Drosophila melanogaster: one gene and its partner. The protein of the gene in region 1 binds, or shares a complex with, the protein of each later gene. Each region holds a gene or a part of one and is shown in the gene's direction. Other genes may lie near its edges.

Region 1 (10,400 bases):
ATTTACGTTGCATACAGTATGTCAAGAAACTGTTTACGCACTGTGAAAAAAATTAAACTTTTAACTTTAAAGGTAAAAATTAAGAGTTCTTTGCATACGTAAACTCAATTTTTTATGAAATATAATTAAACAATATTTATTTTACTTATAAATCAAAAAACAAATTAAAAATATTAAATATACAAAAAAAAATAAACAAAAAACACAGAACACTAAATACTTGGGACGACTCGATTCACGATTACATGGTCTTCAAGAAAATAAGCCCTTCTGAGCATCGTGGGTTTTATTTTTTTGTTTTCCAGATTTTTTCCAATATATATATTATTATGATTTAATTGTATTTATTTCCCATGATATCACATTTTTGTTCCAGCCTTTCTCGTTTCAAATTCTTGTCATCTTCTTTTCGCCGTTCCCTCCTTTGATGACTTGGATTCCGGGTCCGCCGTGTGTCTCCTCCAAGTTGTCCTTCTTTCGTTTCTCCTGGTCTCGGCCGGTCTGGATAAGGCGTCACACGATGGTCTGTATCTCAGTAAATTTTCTTCTGCGAAATTGTCGCACATTTATTCACAAATTTGCCTTTACTCATTGGCTTCTGCTCCCAAACACCTTTTTCTTTCTTTTTGCTTCACAAAACTTTTCGCTGAGTTTTGGACTTCTTCCAGAAGTTTCTGTCGCTATCGTTCCCACTCTGTCCCCCTATGGGCGCTTTCAATTTTCGGTTTTAGTTTTGTTAATTATCGTATGTGGCTTTCGTAGCCTTAAATCTAATTCTAAATGCTAACATGCATGCTCGGGTCGCCTAGCCTCGGCCTAAGATAATGCGAACGGGTTCGGTTACATGCAGACACGCAGGCATCGTCGCGGCAACATTGCTAACAAACTCTACAAAAATGATCGGAGTACCTCTCCTTAAACCTTAAATATAAAAAAGAGAGAATACTATAGACAAGTTCCCCGTCTATCAAATACCCGTTACACTGCTAGTGTGAATGCGAACTCTAATTTCATTATTTTTCTGGGATATCGATAGATATTGGGGGAAAAAATGAGAAAAAAATTAAAAATTGTTAAAAAATTTGGCGTGACTGGTATGGCGGCTTTAGGGCGTTAAAGTGGGCGTGGCAAAAATCGATAGAAATTTAAGCGACATATACAATTATGAAAAAATATCCAACAATTTTTTTAAAAATGTGGGCGTAGCAGTTTAAACAGTATATTTAAAACTAACTTGTATTATATGTATCTTCTCCTGGAAGTATGTATGTCTGTATGTATAACTAAAATATGAAGCAATGCATGTAGCCAATTGAAATTTGACAGGGTGCTGTAGCTGATGAAACTTCTGTTGCTTTTGGAGCTTCAGCTGAAGAAAAAATGTCGAAAAAAGTAACTAAAACAGCATCAGCTCATTTCTTTTCTAGTAGTGCAAAGTAGAAATTTTACTTAAATCGATAAAAAAATTATAACGTGGCCAAAATATTTTTTTGCTATACATATAGATAGATATTGGCAAGAAAAATACTAAGACAGTAAAATCAAAAGTAGCATAAATCTCTAGCAACAAAAGTTAGGTTTTTTTAAGCATGTTAAAGCAAAAGTTTCCAACGTTAATCTCGTGATTTCTTTTGTGAGTGATGTTACCTCCCACCAATTTTTGTAATTTTCCTTCTTAACTTTCAGAGTTTATTGTCATGAATTTAAGTATGCAGTCCCGTGTGCTGTTGTTGTGCTAACGTATTAAAAATGTATTTTTTTGTAGAAGTGGTATTCAGAGTCAGAAAATTTATTGTGCTAATTGGGGTAAGTTACCTATTTAACAAATCATTGTAATTCGTTTTACCATAAGAAAATTTTGCCATTTAAGCCAAATGCGATTCATTTCAGTATTCAATTATTTTTTAATTATTTTAAATAAAACTCAAAGTAATGATTTACAGTTTTTTCCACAGTTGTTCTTTGTATATAACCAAACTTCAATTAGAGAGAAGAATCCCGTGGGAATCATTCGAAAGTGATTTCTGGAACAGGGCCGATAACTAAATATCTTAAGAGTTCTATATTCGTCGGTAGTTGACTAATACCTTAAATTCAGGCTTTCCCTGCATGTTAGCTCTTTATTACAATCGATAGTAATAAGTACAATCGATAGTAGAGTCGATGAATATGCGGATCGAGGAAAGGCAGAACATTTAACGTACTAGTAAATAGTACATTTAAGAGAAAAGGAAAAGGTTGCACAGTATAATTTGAGAGTGGAAAAAAGGTATTTACGGTATTTCTTATGGTGAACTGTCTAATTTCGCCGGCCTCTAGGGATTCGTTGTTCTTATCATTACCACTTTCAATTTCATTGGAGCTGGAGGTGGAGCTGCCAATGGCCAATGTCTTTTTCATGGAATTTTCGAGTACCTTGGGTACTTTGGATTTCGATATTGTGGGTGCATTAGGTGGCTCCTTACGCTTGCCTGTATTATTTTTAGGCACAAGCATTTGCCAACCGCCAAAGCCACTTTATCCACTTTATAGCCAAACAGATCGCTCGGCGTAGGTGAGAGATAGGCGGTGCTCCGGTACACAAGTAGTCGTCGTGAATTTGTCCGCTGGCACATCTGCACACTGCGAGAGTTCGATCGCGACTGACCCGGCAGATAACCATAAATTCCGAAACCCAGAAGCAGATTAACAAGTTAAATGACACCATCAATAAGGTCATCAGTGCCCGTAAAAACGACTTGGTTGACACTCCACATTTATATGAAGCATTATTGGCAAGAAATAGGATGCTTTTTACAGAAATTTAATTCTTACTATTACTTTGGCCAAATCAAACATTGCAAATCCCACCATTCTTGACCATGCCGACTTGAAGTCTCTTGTAGAACAGGACACCCCTATTGTCAGCTTAATAGAAGCATCCAAGATGAGGGTCCTCCAGTCCGAGAACAGCATTCATATTATAATTGCCTATCCCAGAGTCAAGTTCGGTTGCAAGAAAGTCGCCGTCTACCCTGTATCTCACCAACATCATCATCTTACGCCTCGACGAGGATACGCTGGCCGAATGCAAGCATGACACCTTTGCGGTCACCGAATGCACAGATACCACACACTACACGTTCTGCGAGCGGTCCCGGCGCGAATCTTGTGCGCGCTCGCTCCACGCAGGAAGCGCAGCCCAATGCCACATTCAACCCAGCTACTTGCAAGAAGTACCTCCCGTAGATGACTGCGTTGTGATTATCAACGAAGCAGCAGCTCGTGTTAGCACCAATGGCAGCCCAGAAATACTAGTCGAGGGAACCCACCTGGTGACCTTCGAGCGAACGGCAACCATCAATGGCTCCGAGTTCGTAAACCTACGAAAAGCAAGCAAGCAGCCAGGCATTGTGCGCTCCCCATTACTTAACATACTTAACACCCTGTACTCAGCATCCCTCTGCTTCACCGGATGAATAACGAGAACCTACTCTCCATCCAAAGCTTTAAGGACGACATGGAATCTGAAGGTTCGCCTAAACTCTGGTTCGTAGCTGGTGTGGTCCTAAACGTTGGGTTAATTGGCTCCTTCGCACTTTATCTGGCATTAAGGAGAAGACGAGCCTCCAGGGAGATACAGCGAACCATCGACACTTTTAACATGACCGAGGACGGTCATAAGCCTGAAGGGGGAGTAGTTAGCAACTGATAATGTAATACTTCACAGCTACTAAGAAGCTTTGTATAAACAATGCTGACGCGCTTCATTCTGCCTAACAACTTTTCAACGAATCTAGTATATCCTTTTACTCTAAGAATAACGGGCATCACAAGCAGATAGTAGTGTATATGGATGATAAAGTCGTAGCTACCACAACTGTAGAGGAATTATTTAATTATTAGATCGTATTAGTGAGAACAACAAACAGATTAACCTAAATAAATTTGAAATTTTTAAACCTGAATGAGAATTCCTTGGTTATGAAATGAACCGTACTGGTAGTGAAGCACATCTTGATGCGTTAAAAATAATGTCCTGTATCTCAAAATTTAAGCACCCTTCACTCGTTTCGAATTTCCACCTATTAAAACTAAATGTTTACATATGTATGTAATAACTGTAAGTTGTGGTGCCAATTCACATATTTTAGGATCGGCGGACACAAGCACTCACTTACAAAAGCACAGTTATTTACGTTGCATACAGTATGTCAAGAAACTGTTTACGCACTGTGAAAAAAATTAAACTTTTAACTTTAAAGGTAAAAATTAAGAGTTCTTTGCATACGTAAACTCAATTTTTTATGAAATATAATTAAACAATATTTATTTTACTTATAAATCAAAAAACAAATTAAAAATATTAAATATACAAAAAAAAATAAACAAAAAACACAGAACACTAAATACTTGGGACGACTCGATTCACGATTACATGGTCTTCAAGAAAATAAGCCCTTCTGAGCATCGTGGGTTTTATTTTTTTGTTTTCCAGATTTTTTCCAATATATATATTATTATGATTTAATTGTATTTATTTCCCATGATATCACATTTTTGTTCCAGCCTTTCTCGTTTCAAATTCTTGTCATCTTCTTTTCGCCGTTCCCTCCTTTGATGACTTGGATTCCGGGTCCGCCGTGTGTCTCCTCCAAGTTGTCCTTCTTTCGTTTCTCCTGGTCTCGGCCGGTCTGGATAAGGCGTCACACGATGGTCTGTATCTCAGTAAATTTTCTTCTGCGAAATTGTCGCACATTTATTCACAAATTTGCCTTTACTCATTGGCTTCTGCTCCCAAACACCTTTTTCTTTCTTTTTGCTTCACAAAACTTTTCGCTGAGTTTTGGACTTCTTCCAGAAGTTTCTGTCGCTATCGTTCCCACTCTGTCCCCCTATGGGCGCTTTCAATTTTCGGTTTTAGTTTTGTTAATTATCGTATGTGGCTTTCGTAGCCTTAAATCTAATTCTAAATGCTAACATGCATGCTCGGGTCGCCTAGCCTCGGCCTAAGATAATGCGAACGGGTTCGGTTACATGCAGACACGCAGGCATCGTCGCGGCAACATTGCTAACAAACTCTACAAAAATGATCGGAGTACCTCTCCTTAAACCTTAAATATAAAAAAGAGAGAATACTATAGACAAGTTCCCCGTCTATCAAATACCCGTTACACTGCTAGTGTGAATGCGAACTCTAATTTCATTATTTTTCTGGGATATCGATAGATATTGGGGGAAAAAATGAGAAAAAAATTAAAAATTGTTAAAAAATTTGGCGTGACTGGTATGGCGGCTTTAGGGCGTTAAAGTGGGCGTGGCAAAAATCGATAGAAATTTAAGCGACATATACAATTATGAAAAAATATCCAACAATTTTTTTAAAAATGTGGGCGTAGCAGTTTAAACAGTATATTTAAAACTAACTTGTATTATATGTATCTTCTCCTGGAAGTATGTATGTCTGTATGTATAACTAAAATATGAAGCAATGCATGTAGCCAATTGAAATTTGACAGGGTGCTGTAGCTGATGAAACTTCTGTTGCTTTTGGAGCTTCAGCTGAAGAAAAAATGTCGAAAAAAGTAACTAAAACAGCATCAGCTCATTTCTTTTCTAGTAGTGCAAAGTAGAAATTTTACTTAAATCGATAAAAAAATTATAACGTGGCCAAAATATTTTTTTGCTATACATATAGATAGATATTGGCAAGAAAAATACTAAGACAGTAAAATCAAAAGTAGCATAAATCTCTAGCAACAAAAGTTAGGTTTTTTTAAGCATGTTAAAGCAAAAGTTTCCAACGTTAATCTCGTGATTTCTTTTGTGAGTGATGTTACCTCCCACCAATTTTTGTAATTTTCCTTCTTAACTTTCAGAGTTTATTGTCATGAATTTAAGTATGCAGTCCCGTGTGCTGTTGTTGTGCTAACGTATTAAAAATGTATTTTTTTGTAGAAGTGGTATTCAGAGTCAGAAAATTTATTGTGCTAATTGGGGTAAGTTACCTATTTAACAAATCATTGTAATTCGTTTTACCATAAGAAAATTTTGCCATTTAAGCCAAATGCGATTCATTTCAGTATTCAATTATTTTTTAATTATTTTAAATAAAACTCAAAGTAATGATTTACAGTTTTTTCCACAGTTGTTCTTTGTATATAACCAAACTTCAATTAGAGAGAAGAATCCCGTGGGAATCATTCGAAAGTGATTTCTGGAACAGGGCCGATAACTAAATATCTTAAGAGTTCTATATTCGTCGGTAGTTGACTAATACCTTAAATTCAGGCTTTCCCTGCATGTTAGCTCTTTATTACAATCGATAGTAATAAGTACAATCGATAGTAGAGTCGATGAATATGCGGATCGAGGAAAGGCAGAACATTTAACGTACTAGTAAATAGTACATTTAAGAGAAAAGGAAAAGGTTGCACAGTATAATTTGAGAGTGGAAAAAAGGTATTTACGGTATTTCTTATGGTGAACTGTCTAATTTCGCCGGCCTCTAGGGATTCGTTGTTCTTATCATTACCACTTTCAATTTCATTGGAGCTGGAGGTGGAGCTGCCAATGGCCAATGTCTTTTTCATGGAATTTTCGAGTACCTTGGGTACTTTGGATTTCGATATTGTGGGTGCATTAGGTGGCTCCTTACGCTTGCCTGTATTATTTTTAGGCACAAGCATTTGCCAACCGCCAAAGCCACTTTATCCACTTTATAGCCAAACAGATCGCTCGGCGTAGGTGAGAGATAGGCGGTGCTCCGGTACACAAGTAGTCGTCGTGAATTTGTCCGCTGGCACATCTGCACACTGCGAGAGTTCGATCGCGACTGACCCGGCAGATAACCATAAATTCCGAAACCCAGAAGCAGATTAACAAGTTAAATGACACCATCAATAAGGTCATCAGTGCCCGTAAAAACGACTTGGTTGACACTCCACATTTATATGAAGCATTATTGGCAAGAAATAGGATGCTTTTTACAGAAATTTAATTCTTACTATTACTTTGGCCAAATCAAACATTGCAAATCCCACCATTCTTGACCATGCCGACTTGAAGTCTCTTGTAGAACAGGACACCCCTATTGTCAGCTTAATAGAAGCATCCAAGATGAGGGTCCTCCAGTCCGAGAACAGCATTCATATTATAATTGCCTATCCCAGAGTCAAGTTCGGTTGCAAGAAAGTCGCCGTCTACCCTGTATCTCACCAACATCATCATCTTACGCCTCGACGAGGATACGCTGGCCGAATGCAAGCATGACACCTTTGCGGTCACCGAATGCACAGATACCACACACTACACGTTCTGCGAGCGGTCCCGGCGCGAATCTTGTGCGCGCTCGCTCCACGCAGGAAGCGCAGCCCAATGCCACATTCAACCCAGCTACTTGCAAGAAGTACCTCCCGTAGATGACTGCGTTGTGATTATCAACGAAGCAGCAGCTCGTGTTAGCACCAATGGCAGCCCAGAAATACTAGTCGAGGGAACCCACCTGGTGACCTTCGAGCGAACGGCAACCATCAATGGCTCCGAGTTCGTAAACCTACGAAAAGCAAGCAAGCAGCCAGGCATTGTGCGCTCCCCATTACTTAACATACTTAACACCCTGTACTCAGCATCCCTCTGCTTCACCGGATGAATAACGAGAACCTACTCTCCATCCAAAGCTTTAAGGACGACATGGAATCTGAAGGTTCGCCTAAACTCTGGTTCGTAGCTGGTGTGGTCCTAAACGTTGGGTTAAGTGGCTCCTTCGCACTTTATCTGGCATTAAGGAGAAGACGAGCCTCCAGGGAGATACAGCGAACCATCGACACTTTTAACATGACCGAGGACGGTCATAAGCCTGAAGGGGGAGTAGTTAGCAACTGATAATGTAATACTTCACAGCTACTAAGAAGCTTTGTATAAACAATGCTGACGCGCTTCATTCTGCCTAACAACTTTTCAACGAATCTAGTATATCCTTTTACTCTAAGAATAACGGGCATCACAAGCAGATAGTAGTGTATATGGATGATAAAGTCGTAGCTACCACAACTGTAGAGGAATTATTTAATTATTAGATCGTATTAGTGAGAACAACAAACAGATTAACCTAAATAAATTTGAAATTTTTAAACCTGAATGAGAATTCCTTGGTTATGAAATGAACCGTACTGGTAGTGAAGCACATCTTGATGCGTTAAAAATAATGTCCTGTATCTCAAAATTTAAGCACCCTTCACTCGTTTCGAATTTCCACCTATTAAAACTAAATGTTTACATATGTATGTAATAACTGTAAGTTGTGGTGCCAATTCACATATTTTAGGATCGGCGGACACAAGCACTCACTTACAAAAGCACAGTTATTTACGTTGCATACAGTATGTCAAGAAACTGTTTACGCACTGTGAAAAAAATTAAACTTTTAACTTTAAAGGTAAAAATTAAGAGTTCTTTGCATACGTAAACTCAATTTTTTATGAAATATAATTAAACAATATTTATTTTACTTATAAATCAAAAAACAAATTAAAAATATTAAATATACAAAAAAAATAAACAAAAAACACAGAACACTAAATACTTGGGACGACTCGATTCACGATTACATGGTCTTCAAGAAAATAAGCCCTTCTGAGCATCGTGGGTTTTATTTTTTTGTTTTCCAGATTTTTTCCAATATATATATTATTATGATTTAATTGTATTTATTTCCCATGATATCACATTTTTGTTCCAGCCTTTCTCGTTTCAAATTCTTGTCATCTTCTTTTCGCCGTTCCCTCCTTTGATGACTTGGATTCCGGGTCCGCCGTGTGTCTCCTCCAAGTTGTCCTTCTTTCGTTTCTCCTGGTCTCGGCCGGTCTGGATAAGGCGTCACACGATGGTCTGTATCCCAGTAAATTTTCTTCTGCGAAATTGTCGCACATTTATTCACAAATTTGCCTTTACTCATTGGCTTCTGCTCCCAAACACCTTTTTCGTTCTTTTTGCTTCACAAAACTTTTCGCTGAGTTTTGGACTTCTTCCAGAAGTTTCTGTCGCTATCGTTCCCACTCTGTCCCCCTATGGGCGCTTTCAATTTTCGGTTTTAGTTTTGTTAATTATCGTATGTGGCTTTCGTAGCCTTAAATCTAATTCTAAATGCTAACATGCATGCTCGGGTCGCCTAGCCTCGGCCTAAGATAATGCGAACGGGTTCGGTTACATGCAGACACGCAGGCATCGTCGCGGCAACATTGCTAACAAACTCTACAAAAATGATCGGAGTACCTCTCCTTAAACCTTAAATATAAAAAAGAGAGAATACTATAGACAAGTTCCCCGTCTATCAAATACCCGTTACACTGCTAGTGTGAATGCGAACTCTAATTTCATTATTTTTCTGGGATATCGATAGATATTGGGGGAAAAAATGAGAAAAAAATTAAAAATTGTTAAAAAATTTGGCGTGACTGGTATGGCGGCTTTAGGGCGTTAAAGTGGGCGTGGCAAAAATCGATAGAAATTTAAGCGACATATACAATTATGAAAAAATATCCAACAATTTTTTTAAAAATGTGGGCGTAGCAGTTTAAACAGTATATTTAAAACTAACTTGTATTATATGTATCTTCTCCTGGAAGTATGTATGTCTGTATGTATAACTAAAATATGAAGCAATGCATGTAGCCAATTGAAATTTGACAGGTGGCTGTAGCTGATGAAACTTCTGTTGCTTTTGGAGCTTCAGCTGAAGAAAAAATGTCGAAAAAAGTAACTAAAACAGCATCAGCTCATTTCTTTTCTAGTAGTGCAAAGTAGAAATTTTACTTAAATCGATAAAAAAATTATAACGTGGCCAAAATATTTTTTTGCTATACATATAGATAGATATTGGCAAGAAAAATACTAAGACAGTAAAATCAAAAGTAGCATAAATCTCTAGCAACAAAAGTTAGGTTTTTTTAAGCATGTTAAAGCAAAAGTTTCCAACGTTAATCTCGTGATTTCTTTTGTGAGTGATGTTACCTCCCACCAATTTTTGTAATTTTCCTTCTTAACTTTCAGAGTTTATTGTCATGAATTTAAGTATGCAGTCCCGTGTGCTGTTGTTGTGCTAACGTATTAAAAATGTATTTTTTTGTAGAAGTGGTATTCAGAGTCAGAAAATTTATTGTGCTAATTGGGGTAAGTTACCTATTTAACAAATCATTGTAATTCGTTTTACCATAAGAAAATTTTGCCATTTAAGCCAAATGCGATTCATTTCAGTATTCAATTATTTTTTAATTATTTTAAATAAAACTCAAAGTAATGATTTACAGTTTTTTCCACAGTTGTTCTTTGTATATAACCAAACTTCAATTAGAGAGAAGAATCCAGTGGGAATCATTCGAAAGTGACATCTGGAACAGGGCCGATAACTAAATATCTTAAGA
Region 2 (10,632 bases), on another chromosome or scaffold:
AAAAAGGACCACTATTTTTGAGAACAGTTATAAAATACTTATCATTTTATTCATTTTTAAACAATTTCTAACATTTCGAAACATAATTCAGATATTGAAATGCTTTACTGTGTGTGCCTTCAGAGATTACGACCAGAATAGGTGTTTTAGTACATAAGGAAACAATCCTTCAGTCATGAAAGATGCACTACTAATCATCATTTACAGGTCCTTCAAAGGGAGCCTTGCAACCAGCCTTTTCGTAAAACTCGAATGGCAGCGGATCCTCGTTGTCGTAATAGTCGGAATCGCGGGCGCAACTGGGACCAAGTTCCATTTTCACCATCTTGTCGCGCCAAAAGTCGAGAAGCTCTTTGGTGAGAACCTCATCCCTCAGATTGAAAATCCAACTGTTGTAGTCGTCGGGCCCATAGAAACCAGCATCACCCTTGTACTCCTGCAGCAGCTCGGCGGCCTTGTTTTGATCCTCCGCTGAGGGTGTGCCATCGAAGAGCAGCTTCCAGATTATCTCCCTGGCGGCTGCCGCTATCTTCTTCACGCTGGCCTGGTGAACGCTGTCCGGAACGATGATTTTGGTCAGAACAAAGCGCTTCATTAGAGTTCGGTATTCCTCGAGCGGATTTTCCTTGGTCAGGGTGGCCTCAAATTCGCCAGACAGAGCGGCGGCATCATCGGCACTCAGTTCACCCGGAGTTGTAGGCGTCGCTGGCCCATCCTGATCCAGCGAAGCCTGCTCCTCGAGTGCTGCGCGCACCTTTAAGCTGGCTGCAAATGGAGCGGTACAACCGGCATGGGCATAGAACTCCAATGGCGGGGTGTCGTCGCTGTCAAAGAGATCACTGTCGCGTGACCAACAGGGACCGAGTTGCTTCTTCACCAGCACATCGCGCCAAAAGTCGAGGAGTTCCTTCTTTAGAACCTCATCCCTCAGCTTGACAATCCATTCGTTGTACGGCGTCGGGTCGTAGAAGCAGGCGTCACCACGGTATTCCTCCAGCAATTGGCTGGCCTTCTCTGTGTTCGATTGCGAGGTACCGGCCTCGTCGAATAACAGCCGCCAGATGACGTCACGCGCCGCTGCAGCCGTTCGATCGAAATTCTCCTTGGTGACATCATCATCCACGATTTCGTCTACCTGCACGCGTGTTTCGATAAGCTTTTGGTAATCCTTAACGGGATCCACCAGGCCAATGGTGTAATCGTTCTGTCCAGACAATAGTTGTTATTGTTTGTAAACTATTTTTGTTTATTTTCTATGGCTGTTGCTTATTACCTGTGCTACTTTCTCGGCCGTTGCCATTTTGTCGGATTGTGTGTCCTCGGCCTTGCGCTTGGACATTCCCCTCTGGATAAATTGGCGATTTAAGGTTCTTCGAAGTAAAGCGTTTAAAATCGTTGGGCTATTGATCGTCACTTCTGTCGGAAAGAGATAAGATGACTAATTCAGATCGCCGCTTGCTGTTGCGATACTACGAATGTAAATAGTAGGGTAGTTCTTTTCAATAGAGAATAATTTTAATTGGAATATTCTCGGAAGGACAGACCAAGAATCAAAATAAGACGACTTATTGGATGAATAAGAAAAGAAAGTATGTGACATATTGAAAATATTATATATTTTATGTCGGTTTATAAATAAATATATATGTATATATATTGTACAACTTCCTTTAAAATCACATCTTACATTTAAAATAAAAAAAACTGTTTTTAAAAGACAATTGCAAAATAGGTAATTAAATTATTACAAAAAAGTATCGATTCTGCCCGCAATCGATGTTTATCTAACACTTAATTGCACTCGATACTATCGGCTCTATCGAGTGTTCGAGATTATCGAATATAATCACCATCCGTGTCTACCAACACAAACGAGCGAATTGTTCGCAACGCCTACTTCGATTACAAGTACTTTGCTCTTGGAAATCGGTAGAAAAAATTGTGCAATCCGTGCTGGAAACTACAGATATTATTTTCGCCCGATTAATTCATGTCAAATTGATAGATTCATCTTATACCATTGGTTCCGCCCCGTGCTGACTGTGTTTGTGTGTGTGTGTGCGTGACAGACACAAAGAAATTTGAGGTTAAGCTGCAGATGAATTTTGCGTTAATGTCGCTGAAAAACCAAAGTTTAACAATCCTATTCAATAAAAAACACTTAAGCTAAAGATACAATCAATTTACAGTTGCAATAAGAGCAATAGTTGTGTCGTAAAAGGCAACACACACCAGCCAATTGCATTCGTGGAATTCGTGTCGGTGAGAGTCTCGCGGTGCGTCTGTGTGTGCGTGTGGACGTGAATTCAATTTTCTCGTGCACGAAAAGCAACGAAAAAGCTTCAAAAGTTATACTCAAATGTGTATGGCAATTGTGGTAAGTGCGGCAGGGGATCGGCTACAGCCGCAAGTTTTTAAATAATACATTTTTGTTGCATAAATTGTTTCGAACGTCAACGAACACTCGCACAACTACTGAGCCACAAAGTATGTGTGCTTGTGTGCGTGCGTTGGCATTTACATTCAATTTTTTTCGTTTAAACAATTTCTAACTGGATTTTGTTTGTTTTATTCGAAAAATAGTCTTAAAAAACATGTTGGCATTAGAAATAGTTTCTGGAATTTGTTTAAATTTTTTTTTAGTATATATCAACCAGTTACATTTTTATTTGTCTGTGCAAAAACTATAAACAATTGTCATCTTGTAAAACTAGAATATGTTATAAACTAATTGTGTTTACGTTTTTTATAAATATGAATGTGAACTTTTTAAATGTATTCTTCTCAAAATACCAACAAATCTGTGTAATTGCTATGAATAATATTCTTTTCTTCGCAATCAAATTAATCGAATTGCAAATTCTGCTGTGCTTGCATAAAAAACGTTAAGGAAAGTAATGTAATGTCCCATTTGTTATCATACACAACAATCATATACTTCAATAAATGGGTAACTTCACGCATTTTACTTTCATTCGACCCAGTTACCTGGTTAACTGCCTTCGCCAGTTGAAAATAAATGTCAGCTGACCCAGTTTTACCATCCGAACGGAACTAGGACGGGACCAAAACTATTTTGCACTGCACCAGTTAAAGTTTATTTCTCTTATTTTTTTTGGCAGTTTTTATCATCTTCATACGTCATTTGCTAGGTACATACACGTAGATTCTAATCTAATATCTAATCTGTTGAAGACATTTCGAGCAGATTTATATCATATCAAAGCGGCAGAGCAAACAGTAAACAAAAGACATGGCCGAGAGAAATTGTTTTTTTTAGAACAAAACAGCCAAATCAGTTGGCATTTTATACTGAACAAATGTGGACGGAGCAAAGTTGTAGTGCAAAAAGATTGCCTTCGTTCATAGCTTTCAATTTTACAATCAGTTGTTACTCAACAAGGTTTGGCTGTGATTTGCTGTTATCTCGAATTTTCGCATTTTTTCCACCTGTGTTTATCTTGATCGCACTGTTTGCTAATCGATATCAGCAAATTGCGTCAATTGGTATTGAAAGCGGTATAAGCGGTATAGAAATGGAACCTGGCAACTGAAACTGTCCCATACGCACCAAAGGAATATCAATTATACGCCAACCGGTGGTTGAAAATCCCAACGATATCCATTTTTTAACCGGTTCTCTTGTCAGATTTCTTGTGCTCTCTCCCTTTTATTTCCGTTTGGGGTCTCTTGTCCTTGAACAAGTTCAATGATAGTGCCCCGGCCACGGCAATACAAACAAAAGAAAGAAAAGAATCTCTTTCGGTTTCATTCTCTCTTTTTATTTATCCGTGATAAAAAAGAGCGAGCAGATAAGCGTATCAGCCAAGGGAAGAATTTTAAAATCCGGTTTGACTTTATCAAAAATATACCGAACAAACTCATACGAAAAGACGTCATAACTTGAACGCATCGATTACAAAACTCGATTAATTTGGTAGGGTTCCTTTCAATCATACAGATATACATTTTTCAAGATTGAATACCTATCTATCTAGCATTGCATTAAATTCCATTTTCTTATCAAGAGTACTACTACATGTATCTCAACTCAGTGTAGAGATTACGTATACGCTTCTTGGTTATTTTGTATTCCAGCTGTTTGTATTTTGTTGTCTGGGTTTATCTGCTTTCCGCCAGTTCTAAAATATTCCATATTCCCACGCACACAATCGAATCGAAAGCCAATTGAATTCCTCGAAATGTGTGGCAATACTTTCGTTCATTGAAATGCTTCCAGCAAATTTGTTTGAGGTCATTTTGATTTAGTGCAATTTATTGGATCTTTCTGAACATCTTCAACATCTTCTTAATTTTTGTTGTTGTGCGATAAATTTGCTTACTCGACAATTACCGAAATTAAACTTATTTAAAATTTACAACTTTCACTGCTCCGTGATCTGTAACCAAATCTATAAATGTGTCAAGTTGTAATTATAGAAATTCTCAAAATTAATTGAATGTAGATAAATGTATATTTCACGGTCTTTTGAGGTCATACTCGTACAGTAGCGGCAGCTTAAATTCTACAGCCAGCTAATTAAATACACTCGCACATTAGTTAGGAAGAAGTCAAGAACTCGCTAATTAGAAATATCGAAGTAGCATGAGAGTTGCGAACTTTCAGACTACTTTTCGCGGTTATATATCATTGTGCTGTATTATTTTTTTTTTTTTTTTTACTGCTGTCACGTTTTGGCCGCTTGTGTGCAGAATTTCACCAATACATGTCATATCCAAAAATAGACCAAAAAGCGAACAACAAAGCATGCAATACGATTTACAAACGTCAGTGGAGGGTGGAGGGTGGTAGATTGGTGGAAAATGGGAGGGGAAAATGTCACCGACCACCCCCGGATTCTATATATAGTGCGCGATAAATGCGGCGCTGTTTGTCCTCAATAGTTTTGGCCTGCCCTTGGTTAAGGTACACAGTACCCAAAACTAACCAGGAAAATGGCACTTTTTTGTTGATGTACTATGCATGTATGTACGTAATCCTTGTCTGTAAATCAACCTTGAAGGACCTGCAATTTGTGGCAGGAGAAGGCATGCATTCGATAATTGCAATAACGAGACAAGATTGCTTATTTATTTTTGTTTTGGTTGCATTTTATCAAAACAAAACAACAACAGCTGTTTTCCGATTAAAAGTCGTTGATGACGCATGAGAAGTCGCCGCCTGGTGCGTCACGAAAAACAGCGCGACCACTTGGCAACTAGAAAAAGGCGGTTTGAGATCCTAGTTGCCCCCGTGGTGGGGCCACCATTTCCTGCTCATCTCCTCCTGGTTCGCAGCACTCGAGACGCTTCGGGGCAAACTTAAAATTTCCATTATGGCGAAATACGGAAATCGCGGATGGATGGAGATGGAGATGGTGTTGGTGCTGGGGCTTGGACATCGCCCTTCCTCCTTTGCTAGTCGCGCAAAATCAATAACTCGAGCTTGGTCTGTGTTTTTTTTTGCTGTCTTTTCATTTGACTTGGGTTTCCAATACCCATACTTATCTGATCTGAAAGCGTGCCGCGAATATCTAAGGTGAACAAAACTTAGAAAAGTTTTGGTTTTCATGTGTTTGGCAGTACAAAAAAGGTTCTTGCTTGCTTTATATCTATATCTATATCTATCTATATCTCGTATCTATCTATATCTATCTATCTATATCAATCTATCTATATCAATCTTCTTGACTATACATTTATTGTAAGATGAATTTATATCTATTGATCCTAAATCATTTACAATTATTCTCAATATTCATTTAAGATACCAATGATTCCAATGATTTAAGTTCCAAGTTGGTAACAGTGTACTGTTTTATTGAATGTTTAGTCTACCAGCTTTCTACCCCATGTAGGTAGCTAGTTTTTGTTTTTTTAATAAGTGTATAAGACTTAATGTATTCTTAGTGTCTGCGTTATGTCTGGCTTTTTTTTTCGGCACGTCTCCGGTTTTATTGACACCCGTGGACAGACTTTAGCTTAGTAAGTTGAGGCTTGAGTGGCAGTTACCCTCATCACATTTCCCGTCCGTTAGTCATTTTCAATTTGTTTACAACCTTTTACTACTATTTTTTGCAAGTCTGTGATTATTGGCGTAAATCGGGCGATCTTGTTTGCCAGGATTGCAGTCGAAGTCTAAACAAAAACTGAAAGAGGGGACAAACAAAAAAAAAAAAAAAGAAAAGGGAACTGGAATTGAAGTACTTTGAACCCCGAATCCAAACTCAGACACACCGGCATTCAGTTGTGTTTGCTTTCTTACCTCCAGATTTCATCGGTTCCTTGTTCTTTGTTTCCTTCTTGTCTGGCCCTCGGTCTAAGTCGTCTGCTCCTGTTTCGGGAAAGTCCAATCAACTTTCCGCACAGACAAAACCATCTGCTACCTCGGAGAGAACAAAAAGTATTTTTTGTCAAAGATACAATAGTCTGTTAAGAAGTTTTGTCTAATTGCACGAATATCTTTATGTTGATTTGAATCAAAAGTTTGATTTCATTAAACTCGTCGTTTAAAGACATTATGATGTATTAACTGATTGGAAAATGTATTTGAAAATCTGTGTATGTAGCGAGGAGCATTCAAGTGGAACAAATGTGTACATATGTATGCATGTATGTTTGTATATAGCGAGTAACAATATAGCCGCAATTTGGTATTAGTGTCGTCATGCCATTTGCCTACATCTCGATTATAATCAACTGGTTTAAATGTAAGACTAATTTCATATTAAGTTACACGTTTGTGTGCGCCGTAGCCTTCATTAACTGTGCATAATATAAACCGCATTTAGCTTTGTTTATTGCCCTTAAATAACGACTGACCTTGGCATCCCGTAAAAGTTATAATCTGACTGCAAAACTTTCCTTCGCTGTATTTGAACACTTTCCAAGTCAGGTAGCTAGATGGGGAAAAAAACCTTTATATGCTAAAGATCTTATCAATCATTTATTTATTCCCCGATTTAAAAAGCGTTTCCACACAGTTATTTGAATATCCTACGGATTATATGTCTATAAGCATTTTGGCACTTTAAAATACCAAGCCATTAACGCGAAATAATTTGTATTGGTCATAAATATAAGTGTTTGTTAGGTAATGTCAATATGATTTGCGTTTCTTCGAAAATACAGGTATATTCAAAATTTTAGTAGAGTTTATTTTCGAAACTTATTTCAGAGACGAAGTCGAAAAAAATATTTTAAGATCTATATTTAAAAAGAACAGAATACAAACTAACTTGTTGTCTAGTTTCTAAAATTAAACAATTTAACATTTTAAAATAAATACCCTCGTGATTTTAAATCAGAACTACTTATATTGTCACTACTATACCAGAACGAATAAAATGCTTTAAAATTTAAACATTTTTAGTAAGCACAAAATTCGCCCTTTCATGGTCCATTGAACTCTGCTAATTATGTTCAACAGTAGAAAAGTAAAACTAACCAAGCAAATTGTTTCTATTTTTCCTGCCTCTATTGTTTTTGCACAACAGACTTTTTAAAGCGCTTTAAATATGCACCAGACTGTAGATAATTTTTTTTCGCTCTCTGCGTGAGCGATTGGAGAGATGTGCGTCACGACTCTCTCTTCGTTCTCCCCGGCAATGGAGACTTACTGCCGGACGGAGCGGCCGTTTCCGTGGCGTAAAATGGGCGGCGAAGAGTTGACAATCGCCAGTCGATAGCAAAACATGAGAGAGTGCTCATCACGCAGCAATACGCGTCTACTTATTGTGGTAATCGTAATCGATCAACGTCTCAGAATCGACACTTGTCGATATTTAATCGAGATACTATCTCGCCGTATAACGGGCGATTAACGATAGGTAAATACAATTTATCCGCTGGCAAATCTGAATGTGGAGGACCAATCCTCAGTATATTCGAATTAACTGATAGGAGAGAAAGCTTTACGATCCGCGGATAAAATCGATTAGTGTCTTCCGGCAAACACCTGTCGATATCTAATCGGGAGTCCATATCAACGGGTTACAAGCCGCCCCGTCGTAATCAGCAACTAATCACTGTATTTGCTTAAATGCATAGCGAAATACCTATGTATATATAGATATTTACATATATATTTGCCTGTGTGATTTTTCAATTTCGCCAAGACGCAAAACAAAAAATACATTGCATAAGTCACAAGTAAAAACCGACTGGGAAATATAGCATCAACAAAAAGTGTTGTTGCTTAACGTGTCATGAGGTAAACACACACACACACTGACAAATCTAGAATGTACTGGTATATACTAGGTGCATTCCGAGAAGAAGTGAAAGTTTTCAGTTCTATCAACAAAGTGTTCCTTTTATATGTTTTGTTTTTATTTTTTTGCGCCCGCTTCTTAATTAGTTTCACGCGTTTCAATATCACTAGCTATTCCACAATGGATTCTCCAATACATACCATAATCGAAATGCCTTTAACATAAGGAATTGGCCAATTTTCGAGAGAAATATTCGCCTACTTTAGGCAAAAGTGCAAAAATAAACACAGGTCGCACTGGGGCCATAGAAAATGGAATATTTGCTTAAAGAGTTATCGCGTTTGTGTGGATATACACGTATATATGCGAAATACATATTATACAATCATTGTTCTGTTTCGGTCTTTATATTTGTGAACTCATTTTATACATATGCTTTTCATGATCATCAACGGAATATAAATAATGTAAACGGTCGTGGAAATGAGCAGTCATTATCTTGGATCACTTTTAGGGAATATTTTTAATATTTTTTTTTTCAGACAGCAGGCGACCAATACATTTAAAATCCACTTCAACGATTTTCCTTGCGTATGTTTTCTGGTTCTCGCAGATAAATTTCAGTTGATAAAGGCGGTTTTCTTTTATTTATTCTAAATTGGCTATTTTGGTTGCTAATTAAGTATTGCAAAAGTTGGTAAATCCTAAAAATGTTGAAATTATTTTTGTATGCTTATGGCACCTGTTTCAAAATTGTACAATATATGTATATTATGTACAACGTGAGCCCTAACCCTTGAATGATTTCGATTGTAATGCACCAGTTTTATAATTAATTTATTTATTTCAATTATAATTTTTATGTATCACTTTGGAATTGACTTGCAAATCGATTTTTTTGTATACAATTTATTTCCAATAAACGCTTTTAGCTGGTAATGTTTACAAACATTCTTCATTTCTCGATTGCAAATGGTGGTCAAATAAATTCCTACAAAAATATTTCTAGCTTTTTTTCAATTTTCATTTCATTTAAATGTGATACTGAATGTTGTCCCAACATTTTATTTCTCTTTTGCAGTTGGTTAGACCTGTTCCCACATCTATGGAGTTTCATCTAGACAGTGCAGAATACTGCCAGGCACAGCACAAATAAAAAGTGAGTATGGATTATTTTTGTAGGGTATATGGACTTTTCGTTTAATTAATTAGCTCAAGTGGCACGGGCGGTACACTTGCTGGCCATGGAAAGGTCACTTGACTTACAGTGAACAAAGCACTGTGACCTTTCTGGACAATTGACGGCTTGACCCGCCCCGAAGAACATCGCGGATAAAAAGAGAGTGTCGTGCGAGACGAAAATGGCGAAAGTCTCAATTATTTCATTGCGTGTAATTGAGCTAAATTGTTTTTTAGTTTCCCACGAATTGTTTTCAATTAAATGAACAATGGGAGTCGCGAGAAAGAAGCTCAAACCGACTTGCGCCAGATTTGTCTGGAATATTGAACTCATTCTAGTCTCACTCTTTGCAGGTAAGCAATCCTACAAAAAGGCGGAGATAGCCTGAGTAAACACAGTCACCACTTCGGAAGTCGCCATCGATAGATAAGTGGTGTGGATACCATCAGAATAATACCGTCAACGGATCAGCTGAAATAGCGGCGACAGCAGCGGCATCAATTAGCCAAAGACTGTCGATCTATGGGAGAGAAAGAAGAATACTAAATTCAAAGCATCGCGGTGATCACAGATCATATCACAGCAAGGATATATTTAAATTTTTAACAACGAAACCTTGAAAAAGTTGTAATATTTTCGAAAACAAAACGGGAACTGAGCCCAAATCATTTTTGTTAGCTTAAAAAATACGTGTGACACTTAACAGGGAACCCTTTTTTCAGTCAAAGAAAATTGATTGATTTTCTTTGTGATAGCAGAAAAAATCCATAATTGTACTTAATTGAAAAGAAAAAGAACTAATTTTACTTAAACGATACTTAAACTAAGTTTGTGTTTTGGTGTAAAACATTTAAGATACGATACGAAAAGAGTTAATTATATTTATATTTATATTTATTTTTTATACATAACTCTAGCCTAAACAAGATTCAATTGTAAGCCTCTAACACGCTGAATTTTTAATCTAGAAATCAAACTACTTCCGTTAAAAGAAACCAATCAAATCTTTGTGAAAACGAAACAAAAACCACACCTCAAGATTGTAAGAAAACAGACTTAAGTGCACACGAGCCAGATTAAGTCCTTCAGAACAGCTTTTGTAATTGTTTATGAGCATCACCATGCGTCAAAAAGATCTGCGCCCAGCGCCCGCTCTAATTGAGTACAAGGGCATGAAGTTCCTAATCACCGATCGACCATCAGACATAACCATTAATCACTACATTATGGTAAGTCCCA

Evidence for each region.
Region 2: the proteins of uex (region 1) and PRL-1 are in contact, whole or in part, in a crystal structure (PDB 8CT8), measured with the Drosophila melanogaster proteins. Residues at the interface, in NP_001104390.2 of Drosophila melanogaster: Leu391, Val422, Thr423, Lys442, Cys445, Glu446, Gln449, Asn450, Pro451, Phe454, Phe456, Asp458, His480, Val482, Asn484, Gly488, Asp489, Pro490, Phe491, Tyr492; in NP_001260487.1 of Drosophila melanogaster: Asp32, Ile33, Thr34, Ile35, Asn36, His37, Asp77, Gly78, Cys109, Ala111, Leu113, Gly114, Arg115, Arg142, Arg143, Gly144, Ile146, Asn147, Gln150.

Annotation. Positions count from the first base shown.
Region 1 is NT_033778.4:3,943,641-3,954,040, reverse strand, and holds the start of uex (unextended), read left to right. Parts: upstream 1-4,615; 5' UTR 4,616-4,695; exon of another isoform or gene 4,696-5,193; intron 5,194-5,819; exon of another isoform or gene 5,820-6,441; intron 6,442-9,990; exon of another isoform or gene 9,991-10,029; 5' UTR 10,030-10,400. UniProt on the Drosophila melanogaster protein: Probable metal transporter. Acts downstream of PRL-1 and protects the nervous system against olfactory carbon dioxide stimulation.
Region 2 is NT_033779.5:16,248,821-16,259,452, reverse strand, and holds the start of PRL-1 (PRL-1 phosphatase), read left to right. Parts: upstream 1-1,846; 5' UTR 1,847-2,377; intron 2,378-3,297; exon of another isoform or gene 3,298-3,403; intron 3,404-7,664; exon of another isoform or gene 7,665-7,694; coding exon of another isoform or gene 7,695-7,823; exon of another isoform or gene 7,824-8,212; intron 8,213-9,294; 5' UTR 9,295-9,372; intron 9,373-9,746; 5' UTR 9,747-10,502; coding exon 10,503-10,622; intron 10,623-10,632. Other genes in the region: EndoGI (endonuclease G inhibitor), read right to left, coding at 191-1,204, 1,274-1,339; CG46309 (uncharacterized protein), read left to right, coding at 7,695-7,823. UniProt on the Drosophila melanogaster protein: Probable phosphatase. Inhibits growth possibly by negatively regulating Src64B-induced growth. Regulates central nervous system circuit formation and stabilization of synapse-dense terminal arbors.